Xenopus tropicalis: one gene and its partners. The protein of the gene in region 1 purifies or fractionates together with the protein of each later gene. This does not show direct contact. Links are inferred from orthologs where the notes say so. Each region holds a gene or a part of one and is shown on either strand. Other genes may lie near its edges.

Evidence for each region. The genes of interacting proteins can lie anywhere in the genome.
Region 2: the proteins of ddx5 (region 1) and drosha purify together in Homo sapiens (co-immunoprecipitation; 4 studies listed by BioGRID and IntAct, with this or other methods). This does not show direct contact. The link is inferred for Xenopus tropicalis from reciprocal best matches to the Homo sapiens genes DDX5 and DROSHA.
Region 3: the proteins of ddx5 (region 1) and srpk1 purify together in Homo sapiens (affinity purification with mass spectrometry; 3 studies listed by BioGRID and IntAct, with this or other methods). This does not show direct contact. The link is inferred for Xenopus tropicalis from reciprocal best matches to the Homo sapiens genes DDX5 and SRPK1.

The regions. Positions count from the first base shown.
Region 1 is NC_030686.2:51,540,336-51,543,366, reverse strand, and holds the end of ddx5 (probable ATP-dependent RNA helicase DDX5), read right to left. Parts: intron 3,005-3,031; coding exon 2,943-3,004; intron 2,862-2,942; coding exon 2,802-2,861; intron 1,648-2,801; coding exon 1,429-1,647; intron 1,227-1,428; coding exon 826-1,226; 3' UTR 545-825; downstream 1-544. UniProt on the Homo sapiens protein: Involved in the alternative regulation of pre-mRNA splicing; its RNA helicase activity is necessary for increasing tau exon 10 inclusion and occurs in a RBM4-dependent manner. Binds to the tau pre-mRNA in the stem-loop region downstream of exon 10.
Region 2 is NC_030682.2:84,246,796-84,251,054, reverse strand, and holds the start of drosha (ribonuclease 3), read left to right. Parts: upstream 1-1,336; 5' UTR 1,337-1,480; intron 1,481-4,259. UniProt on the Homo sapiens protein: Ribonuclease III double-stranded (ds) RNA-specific endoribonuclease that is involved in the initial step of microRNA (miRNA) biogenesis.
Region 3 is NC_030678.2:69,859,349-69,863,724, forward strand, and holds the start of srpk1 (SRSF protein kinase 1), read right to left. Parts: upstream 2,924-4,376; 5' UTR 2,902-2,923; coding exon 2,889-2,901; intron 1-2,888. UniProt on the Homo sapiens protein: Serine/arginine-rich protein-specific kinase which specifically phosphorylates its substrates at serine residues located in regions rich in arginine/serine dipeptides, known as RS domains and is involved in the phosphorylation of SR splicing factors and the regulation of splicing.

The sequences.
Region 1 (3,031 bases):
AAAATGCCATTAAGAATTAAGGGCCACCCCTTGGGATCACGTGATTCACAGTGCACACAAACATGCTAGGCCCTCTCAGCCAATGAATGGGCAGAGTTCTGTCTGTAGATTAGTCCCAAACCCCCTTTACCTGAAGCCAAGAATAAAGCACCTGTATATGCCCCTACAGCACCCTATCCCTGAGCCTGCCTGCCCCCGAGTCTTAAACACTGCAGCTCTGGAATGAACTGGCTTGTAGGGGACATAAAGTGGGGGGGCTAACCCCCCCCTCCCCAGTACCCCAAGTAGGTGCTTTTTCTAGTGGGCTGGTAACCAATCAGGATGTAGGTTACTTTTCCAATGGTCTCCATTTAGCTGCAGAAGAATCCTGTTCCAAGGGAGCCCTATGACTTACACAAGCACTAAGGAGCCAGTTATGCTGAGAGGTCTGTGGCCAGGTTAGATTCTCTATAACAGCAATATAAATGTGATGGGGCCCAGGCATTACGTACCCCCACACCGCCCCCCCCCCCCCGGAGGGCACTGAAGAGCAAGACAAGTGAGATAACCAAGTTAAAGATCTTTATTGAAGGCCATGCGCTGCCCCCATTACAGTACTCCAAATCACGTAAACTCTGGAAACACTGGCTTTGTTCTATTACAAAAAAAAAAAAAACAACTAAAATTGCCTCAGGAATGTAGATACAGTCAACTTAAATAGTGAAAGTGCACCACAGGCACTGCTGCAGCTCCCTCCGAGAATCCGCTGGGATTAAATAACTATCCTGCATGGAAACGATACAAAGAGCAAGTACAGAAAATAAAAACAGACTGTGCTTTAACAGCTTATTGGGGGTAGGACGTCGGCATGGGGTAACCCATGACAGCTGGTGCTGTAGCAGTGGCAGCTGGGTATGTGTATGCCTGTTGGGCCATGCTGTTCTGCATTGGAGGTGCACTGTAGCCATTCTGCTGGCTGGCGTAGCCATTCTGGTATGTGCCGTTCTGTGCTCCTGCCCGGAACCCACTCTGAACATTGGTGCCGTAGCTGTTAAAGGAGTTTCCATTGTAATTCTGTGCCCCAAAGCCATTTTGGGATTTGTTGCCGAAGCCATTTTGGGATTTGTTGCCAAAGTCTCTCTTGCCGCCAAACCCACGGTCATAGTTTTCCCGGTCCCACCCACCCCGCTTGCCTGAAGAGAAACGGTCACGTCGGTCGTTCATGCCTCCTCTGCCTCTGAAGCGTCCTGCAAATAGGAAAAGGAATTGACGCTTTAGGGTGTAACATCCAGCAGCCCCACCTTACTACCTTCCTGCGATGGGTACTGGCCCACTTACTAAGTTCTACAGTTCAGTAAAACTCAGGCAGAATCTGCTGCCTCCACCTACATGTGATCCAGTCAGCCTGCACCCCCCATTCTACAAAGCCAACTGGGAGTGGGCTCTTACCTCTGTCCTCCACCAGCTGCAGCAGCTTGGGGTTGATGGCTTGGTTTGCTTCTCGGAGGACGGAGATCAGGTCATTAACTTGCTTAATATTTCCTGGGGTAAAGAAAGTGTATGCGGTGCCAGTTTTGCTGCTGCGGGCAGTTCTTCCAATTCGGTGGATATAATCCTCTGAGGAGTTCGGGTAGTCATAATTGATGACAAATTTCACATCTTCCACATCTGTAGAGTGTCGCAGTGTGGCAAAACAGGGAGGGCAAATAAGGTTTTGCACACCACAAGGGTCAGACCAAAAACACAAGTTAGCCAAATAGGGGATTTGCAGAGAGGAATCAAGGCTGAAAAACAAAAGTTAGGCTGCCCGCTCTAGAGAAGCAATGTGCCCAATAACTCCACCCCCAAACACACACACCTTACCAGTAGTTTGCACTGCCCAAAGTCTCCCATTATTAATAGTCAAGTGACCTCTGATTGCTTGTCAGCAGTACAGCCACTGGCGCCAACAGCAGCCTCCTCATGTGCTCAGTTCGAGGACCTTCAAGAAAACTGGAAGTGGTCCACCTCACACATTCATTAGAAGCTCAGAAATCTGGCCACCCACTGCTTTTGTCTTGCCAAGACCTTACAAGTTGAGCGACAAGCGCACACATCCTGGGAACACCCGCCCCTATGAATACAGGCATTTGGGAGCCAGAGTTTATTGCTGTGTGCTGCGTGTCGTCTAGGCAAGCGCTTGCGAGAAACCAGGATTCACTTGAGAATTTGTCCCCTCTGGCAGGTCTCGACATGACCACTACGATACAGGTGAGGGAGGATCGTGAAACCTAAGGCTAGAGGAGTTCTGCTTCCTCTCCCTTTGCTTTACACCCATTCATGTGCCAGTACTCACCAATTTGTCTAACAAAAGGCTTCCAACTAAATGAGCTGCTCCCATTATATTACTGCCAATGTGCGTCTCCAACAAGTCAACCCCTCAACGCAACCCTGGGGGGTAAGTGGCAGAATGCGTTGCAAGTATCAGAGCTAGAAGCATGCAACAAATGTGGGATGTCTTTATGGGATTGCAGTTTTGGTAATGGGGGAGGGGGTACAAGTTAAATTTTGCCTTTTGAAGATACTGGCACACGATGCTCAGCTTTCCACTTCTCTACACAACTGGAAGCAGACAGCCAATTTCCACTAGTCCTCCATCCCCTTGCGTCCTCCGAATGTCATGCCTAGGCCTTGCCACAAAGACCGCACCTTTGTGAAAAACAAAACTCAAGAGAATTGCAGAGGTTAAAGAAAGCAAATCACTTTCTTTAAAACAATGACATTTCACAACAGTCGTCCGTTCATTGGCTTTCACCGAGCAAAAACAGATTGAACGTACTAACCTAGACCTCTGGAAGCAACGTCTGTGGCAATCAGGATAGGCGATTTACCGTGTTTGAACTCTGCAAGGATGGAACACAGTTTTAGGAAATGCAAAGAACCTATAATTGCCAGCTTAGCAATAATGTGCACAGCTTGCCTACCATTTAAGACCCAGTCACGTTCCTGCTGGCTCTTATCACCATGGATTCCCATTGCAGGCCACCTGTAAGTACAAAACATTCCCCTCATC
Region 2 (4,259 bases), on another chromosome or scaffold:
CACAGGGCTTGTGTGTTTATGACATAGCTTGATGAACATATACTGCAAAATATATGAAATATACTATATGGATGTCATAATCAAAACATCGACATCTTTAAAATTTTCTACTAAAAGAAATAAATCAGTGCCTCTTATCAAAGATTGGTATTGCTTTCCTCCAATGGAGTCCCAAACAAATGCAATACTATTGTAGTTTTAAATTATGTTGCCAACTTGTGGTTGCCCATTTGTATCCTATATCTATATTGCGCTTGAATTTTTCTTTATCTGCTCGGTGTCATGAAAACATGGCCCAAGTTTGTAAACACACACAAAAGCAAACCAACGAAGACCCTGTAATAAAGTAACATTTCACCCATCATCTTTTAAATCAGCCCTTTTTTAATCCCTAAATTATGGAAAAAGTTCCCCTAATTTGCATAAAAAACATTGGCAATGGGAGCCTCTGATGCCAAGAAACACACAAAAAAAAATTCTCTGGTTGTTTAATCCTGATACCAGGTTAATAAAAAAAAAAAAAAAAGCCTAAAAATGAAATTATTTTGGTTAGTTTCACATATCTTTATCCTAAATTAGACCTTTTTGTACCTAAATTGCAAAAACTGCAGCCCATTTCCACAGAACCCTTTGATGCCATAGTAATAAAAAAATAATATTCAGTTTTTAGGCTCATCACATGGTCCCTTTTGTGCAAAACAATATGTAAAACGATCAAATATTATTTTTAACTGGTTTACCCACTGGTGGTGCAAAAAGCACTGGGGTCATTGGATAACAGAATTAAAAAATATCTTTAGGCTATTTTGGTCAGTTTCACCCATTTCCTTTCCCTATAATTCCCCTTTTTGTGTCCCTAAAACTCTTCGTGTTGTAGTATTGTTGGCAAATAGGAAAAAGTCTCGTGTTTATTGGCCCAAGTATGAGATTTAAGCAGAGATAAAAATGAATTGCACTGCTGGCAAATATTTGCAAGGGAGGGCTTTGGTAGCGTAGCTTCCAAAATTCTGGCGGCGGCATAAATTCTTACAATCACTAATTGTTTTTGTTTCTCAGAAAACAAAGTAGGAACTGTGAGCACAAAACAACAATTGGCAGCATATACATGCGAGTGACCTGCCGCGCACAAAGTACCACGTCTTAACAGCAGCACTTATGAGGAAAAAGATGTTGTACCCCACTATCCCTTACTATGCAGTTCCTTGCTCGCCAGTCCACAAGCGGTAGCGTCAAGCGTCCCTGCGCTTATATACTCCGTAGTCATGACGTCACTGCCTGATCTCGCGAGATTGTGACAAAGGTTAAGGAAAGCGGGCCGGCAAAAGGTAAGGAACTGAGTTTTTAAAAGGCTCTCCGGGACTGTGAGCTGTATGGTGGAAATTGAGTCTGTCCCACGCAAAGCATAACTGGGGAGGTATAAATGGTCTTTATTTGTAAAATCACTGGAATCTAAAACGGGGACGGTCTGGTTATATGCTCGGTGAGTTATAGCTTTTGTGACAACACTTTATAGACGTGGGTGAAAGCTTGCTTGCATACAGTGTTTAGGATATCGCCAGTAAAAATATATATGAATTGAGATACTATGGGGAGCACGGTAAATCATAGGATTATGCTAATCTGGTAAATAATAACTAGATCCTGGTGGGTACAACAACAGCACCCCTGTAGAGCATAGGGTGCAGCCAATACACACCCATTACACAATACTAGTAGGAACATACAAAGGCATAGAATCTAGCCTGATATTCACGAACTGCTATTAAAGAACATAATGCCTAACCAGTATATTAGGCCATAACTCCCAAAATAATATACAGATGTCTAGGAAAAATATTATGCATTCTAGCTTTACCCTAGCTCTAAACCCAATGTCCCAAAATAAAGTTCATAAAACTCAAACATCAACTTTCAGGCAAAACAACTTTATGTAGCCTTAGTCAGAATTGAATCCAGGACCTTAGCATTATCAAGGTAAGAACCACTATACCATTGTGTACCTTAGTGATATACAGTGGTGTGAAAAACTATTTGCCCCCTTCCTGATTTCTTATTCTTTTGCATGTTTGTCACACAAAATGTTTCTGATCATCAAACACATTTAACTATTAGTCAAAGATAACACAAGTAAACACAAAATGCAGTTTTTAAATGAGGGTTTTTATTATTTAGGGAGAAAAAAAATCCAAACCTACATGGCCCTGTGTGAAAAAGTAATTGCCCCCTGAACCTAATAACTGGTTGGGCCACCCTTAGCAGCAATAACTGCAATCAAGCGTTTGCGATAACTTGCAACGAGTCTTTTACAGCGCTCTGGAGGAATTTTGGCCCACTCATCTTTGCAGAATTGTTGTAATTCAGCTTTATTTGAGGGTTTTCAAGCATGAACCGCCTTTTTTAGGTCATGCCACAACATCTCAATAGGATTCAGGTCAGGACTTTGACTAGGCCACTCCAAAGTCTTCATTTTGTTTTTCTTCAGCCATTCAGAGGTGGATTTGCTGGTGTGTTTTGGGTCATTGTCCTGCTGCAGCACCCAAGATCGCTTCAGCTTGAGTTGACGAACAGATGGCCGGACATTCTCCTTCAGGATTTTTTGGTAGACAGTAGAATTCATGGTTCCATCTATCACAGCAAGCCTTCCAGGTCCTGAAGCAGCAAAACAACCCCAGATCATCACACTACCACCACCATATTTTACTGTTGGTATGATGTTCTTTTTCTGAAATGCTGTGTTACTTTTACGCTAGATGTAACGGGACACGCACCTTCCAAAAAGTTCAACTTTTGTCTCGTCGGTCCACAAGGTATTTTCCCAAAAGTCTTGGCAATCATTGAGATGTTTTTTAGCAAAATTGAGACGAGCCTTAATGTTCTTTTTGCTTAAAAGTGGTTTGCTCCTTGGAAATCTGCCATGCAGGCCGTTTTTGCCCAGTCTCTTTCTTATGGTGGAGTCGTGAACACTGACCTTAATTGAGGCAAGTGAGGCCTGCAGTTCTTTAGATGTTGTCCTGGGGTCTTTTGTGGCCTCTCGGATGAGTTGTCTCTGCGCTCTTGGGGTAATTTTGGTCGGCCGGCCACTCCTCGGAAGGTTCACCACTGTTCCATGTTTTTGCCATTTGTGGATAATGGCTCTCACTGTGGTTCGCTGGAGTCCCAAAGCTTTAGAAATGGCTTTAAAACCTTTACCAGACTGATAGATCTCAATTACTTTTGTTCTCATTTGTTCCTGAATTTCTTTGGATCTTGGCATGATGTCTAGCTTTTGAGGTGCTTTTGGTTTACTTCTCTATGTCAGGTAGCTCCTATTTAAGTGATTTCTTGATTGAAACAGGTGTGGCAGTAATCAGGTCTGGGTGTGACTACAGAAAAAAACCTCAGGTGTGATAAACCACAGTTAAGTTATTTTTTAACAAGGGGGGCAATCACTTTTTCACACAGGGCCATGTAGATTTGGAGTTTTTTTTCCTCCCTTAATAACGTAAACCTTCATTTAAAAACTGCATTTTGTGTTCAATTATTTTATCTTTGACTAATAGTTAACGGTTTTTGATGAGCATAAACATTTAAGTGTGACAAACATGCAAAAGAATAAGAAATCAGGAAGGGGGCAAATAGTTTTTCACACCACTGTATGCTGTGTATGAATAGTTTACATAACCTGGTATATGAAGTACACTAGTTCCTAGGGACCTTTAGCCTAGAGCTGGGCGATATGACCAAAAATTTATATCACGGTATTTTTCAAAATTATATCGGTGTCACAGTATTTGACGGTATTTTTTTTTCCATGCATGCTTAGGTGTTAACCCCATTTCCTAATAAATTAGAGGATAATTACTGCAGTATTGAAAATCAGAGTCAGGCAAGCGAAGGATCGGCAACAGAAAGTCATAAGGTAAATCAGGCAGGCTTAGTTTCCCAGGCAAGGCCGCAGACAACATAGCACAGGAGGAGGCGTTTGATAGCTTTAAATACCCCCAACGCATGCGCAGAACTGGCGCCGTCGGTGCATCGCGGATGTGCACGCTTTGACGCGCGCGAGACCGGGCCGCATGGGTGAGTACCCTGACACCCCGGTATTGCGGTATCTGAAAAATGAATATAGTTTAAAAAAAAAAAAAACACCGGTATTCGGTATTAAACGGTATATCGCCCAGCCCTACTTTAGCCCCAGTGATCACATGACAGTGACATCAAAACTTCCTTTGGCCACTAGCATCCACCTTGCCTAAAGCTGGTCCTACACATAAGGATCT
Region 3 (4,376 bases), on another chromosome or scaffold:
GAAATACTTCACTTTGTTTTGGGAAGTCAGTTTGTTAAAGGAGACATGTTAAAATTAAAAATGTCAGAAACAATCTGGAAACCGGTAAACCCCAACCTTACCCCATCCCTCTGTGTCTTCCTTTCCTCTACCAACCCTATCTTTCCACCTTTACTCTATCTAACACAGGGGTCGGGAACCTTTTTGGCTGAGAGAGCCATAAACACCACATATTTTAAAATGTAATTCCGTGAGAGCCATACAATATGTTTGGCCGCGGATGCTGCAGGGCAAGGTAGGGTGGGTCCCAAGGATACCGGATGTGGATGGGATGCGGAGGAGGGCGTGGCCTGCGCACGGCGGATAGAAGACGTGTTCTAAGGCTTAGAACACGTCTTCTATCCGCCAAGCGCAGGCCACGTCCCCGTTAATTTTTTTATTAAAGATTTGGCAGCAAGCCAGATGCAGCCATCAAAAGAGCTACATCTGGCTACCGAGCCATAGGTTCCCTACCCCTGATCTAACATACAAACTCTGACTGTTTAAACAGAGCTCAACAGAAAAGAGTAACAATCACAAAAGAAGAAAAAGTGAATGCATACAAATTCACTATGTAATAAGCCCACACTTCATTTAAGATGAAAAATAGCTATTCTGTATATTGTCGATGTTGTTTGCCTTTTTTCTTTCTATAAATTTCTAAAATTTAAATTACAAAAAAAAAAAATTTAAAAATGTACCACTGCGTTATACTCCTTTAAATATAGAAGGATTGTGATTAAAAAGGTTGTACTTCGGACTGATTTATTGAGAAATTCCCCCCCAAACCCTACTAGCCACACCCATCTCTCCCACTTCCTGCTGGCTGAATTCTCTGGATGTGTAGGGGAGCCGGCATTGCAAGTATTACAACTCCTGGAGCAAAAGTGACTATATTATCTCATTTATTTGCTGCAAAAAGCAAATATACACTGGGTCAACAAAGACTATACAATTTAGGATAGCTAAAATTAACAATCTAAATTTACTTCAGTACATAAATTTGGACATAACCCTAAAAAAATATTAAAAAAATGAAAAAGAATGGAATGAGTTACAGATCATTTAAACCCTAAATGTAATTGCAAATAGCACTAAATAAACTTATCAAATATATGCTCAATTCTAATATGATGCCAGCAATGCTTAAGGGCCATGAGAGACGGGTAGATTAGTCGGCGCGCAACTAATCTCCCCATAATGCCATCCCACCGGCTAGAATGTATGTTGCCGGTGGGATGGCATACGCGGTGCCGAAATCGCCTCTCACAGCAACTTCTGCGATTTCGGTAAATTGCCGCACCGTGTATGCCATCTCACCAGCTATTTACATTCTCGCCGGTGGGATGTCATATTTGGGAGATAAGTCGCCTGCGACAACGGAGATTTGCCACGGCCCTTAAAAACAAATTGGGACAGGAGCAACTAAAGTCTAGTAAAGTTATGTAAAGATAAAAAGAGCATCCCAGAGAGGGTGGGCCTTTGAAAATAAAGATAGGAGAGATACACCACTCCACAAATCACTGCTTGGGCAAATATTGCAACAAATTAAGAATAATATGTAAAACTGCAAAGATATCATTACCTACAGTGCATAATATTATTAGAGAAATCTGTGTGTGCAAGGACAAGGCCAGAAGCCAATATTATATCTTCGGGCAGCACTGCATTAAAAACATACAGGATTATGTACTGAAAATGACTGCACAAGTTTGAGAATACTTCTGAAAACCATTGTCTGTAAACACAGTTTACAAAGCTAATATTTCACAGTGCATTGTGCCTGAGTTTTCAGAAAGAGCCAGTGCTACACATTAGAACTGATAGGTAGGAAAAACCCTCCCATGTAACTGGAGAAGTAGCAAGCCGGACTTGGATTTCTTACTATTGAGTGGTATTCTGATATCTACTGGGAGCTGCTATCTTGCTAACTTCCCATTGTTCTGCTGATTGGCTGCTGGGAAGGGGGTGATATCACTCCAACTTGCAGCTCAGCAGTAAAGTGTGACTAAAGTTTATCAGATCACAGGCACATGGCTTTGGCACCCTGGGAAATAAAGAATATGGCTATAGCCCCATGGGAAATTTCAAATTGAAATATAAAAAAAAAATTGTGTTTTGAAAAATGGATTTCAAGGCTTCTGCTGCAGAAGCTGTATTAACTGATGCGTTTTGAAAAACAGCTTGGAGTATTGTTCTTAGTGTGGTCCTGCAGGGTTTTGTATTGAGTGCACTTTTATTTATTAGTGACTTAGTTCTTGCATTTCATGCAAAACTATGCAGGTAAATTAATTTTTCCAAGATGTATCCATCCTTGCAGCAAGATCTAGAAAAACTGAATATCATCTGCCACTAAGCCTGGGGATTTTTAATGTTGATAAATGTAAGGTTTGTATTTAATCTGTCCTGTGTGCTCACAAACTAACTAAACAGTTATGTCCCATGTGGCCCACCCTAAAGTCACTCACTAACTAAGAGGTTAGAGGGTTGAAAGCAGGAAGTAGAATTCTGGCTATTATGTTAAGACATCTGCTTTTGCCTAACTATATTACAAATATTTTTTTCTTTTGTGCAGTCTTTTACCCAGTTTCATTTTTACACTGAACTGTTCCTTTAAGTTATCAAGTACAGTAATAAAACAAAGTCTTGATATGCTAAAAGGAATTGCAAAACACTTCCATACAAATGGTATTATTCTCAATAAGAATTGCAAGATAATATAAAGAAACGTTCACAGCTTTACACTTGCTATTCGCATACATTTAAAACCGCAACCACTCACTAGTAATACATGGCTTGTAAGTCAGTCTGTCTTAGTTTTATATTACATGATCCGTCTATAATCATAGAACCCCTTATTACTCCCTCACCTTTTCTCTCCATGGTACGCCGGTGAAACCACGCGCTTATGGTGCGACCCCCAAAACGTCACCAGTGTGCGCTTACAAACGCCAAAAGCGCGTAAGTTGTTTGGACGAGAAAATATCACTCCCACTTTCGTTTTGGCTACGCCTTTTCCTCGAGGGGCGCCTGGGCGGATGTAGCCATGTTGTAGTTGGACTTTTGAGTTAATGTGCGCCTATTTTTTACAACAGACTAAAGGAACTTTTGTTTAGTAAAACTAAATAAGAAAACATGAGTTTTTTTTTAATTCCGCTTGAATCGTTGTGCAATTTCACGTAAAAAATGCTATCAGTGAAGAACAATAAAGAACGAAGTACATAGCATGACACGTGTGCATATGTGTTTGTTGTAAATATGCAAAAAACCCTCAATCCAATTAAAAAAAAAAAAGTGCGGGTGTTTAGTGTTGTCAGCGTCTACCAAGGAGTAGAAGCCAGCAGGGTAAAAGGTCTGGATAAAAAAAGGGGGCGTGATAGGACCAGGAAGGGCTGAGCTATACTTTAAAACTTGCGTTATTACAGAGAGCGGATTGGGCTAGTAGTCAGGGGTTAAAGGGAAATTGTGGCTAGCCAGGGGCAGAATGACTGGGGTGGAAATTATAATTTTACTGGCAAATACACTGCTGTGCCAGCCTGGGCTGCTATATTACTGGCTCCACTGGTGAAATACCATTTGGCAGTCCTATGGGGCAGATTCATCAAAGTACAAGTTTGAATCCCAAAATGGGTAAAATTCGGATCAGATGCGATCATTTCTGACGATCGGAAATGTCACGAATATGCTTACGAAAAAATCGTAATAGTCACGATAATATCATAACGACTGCTTTCTAAGCTAAGGTCTATTGGTCTTAGTGAAGTCGTTTGCACATGGATAGAAAACTGGCTACAGGATCGGGTACAGAGGGTGGTTGTTAATGGCACATTCTCTACTTGGAGTAAGGTTCTCAGTGGGGTCCCTCAGGGTTCTGTACTGGGTCCACTTTTGTTTAATTTGTTCATAAATGACTTAGGGGAGGGTATTATGAGTAATGTATCAGTGTTTGCAGATGACACAAAACTCTGCAGACCAGTCAATTCTATCCAGGATGTGACATCCCTGCAGCAGGATCTTGACCAACTGGCAATCTGGGCAGCTAAGTGGCAGATGAGATTTAATGTGGATAAATGTAAGGTCATGCACCTGGGATGTAAAAATATGCAAGCCCCGTATAACCTTAATGGGACTGCACTAGGCAAATCCATAATGGAGAAGGATCTTGGAGTCCTTGTAGATAATAAACTTGGCTGTAGCAAGCAATGCCAGGCAGCAGCTGCAAGGGCAAACAAGGTTCTGAGCTGTATTAAAAGGGGTATAGATTCACGGGAGGAGGGGGTTATTCTTCCCCTTTACAGAGCACTGGTAAGGCCCCATCTAGAATATGCTGTTCAGTTTTGGTCTCCAGTGCTCAAACG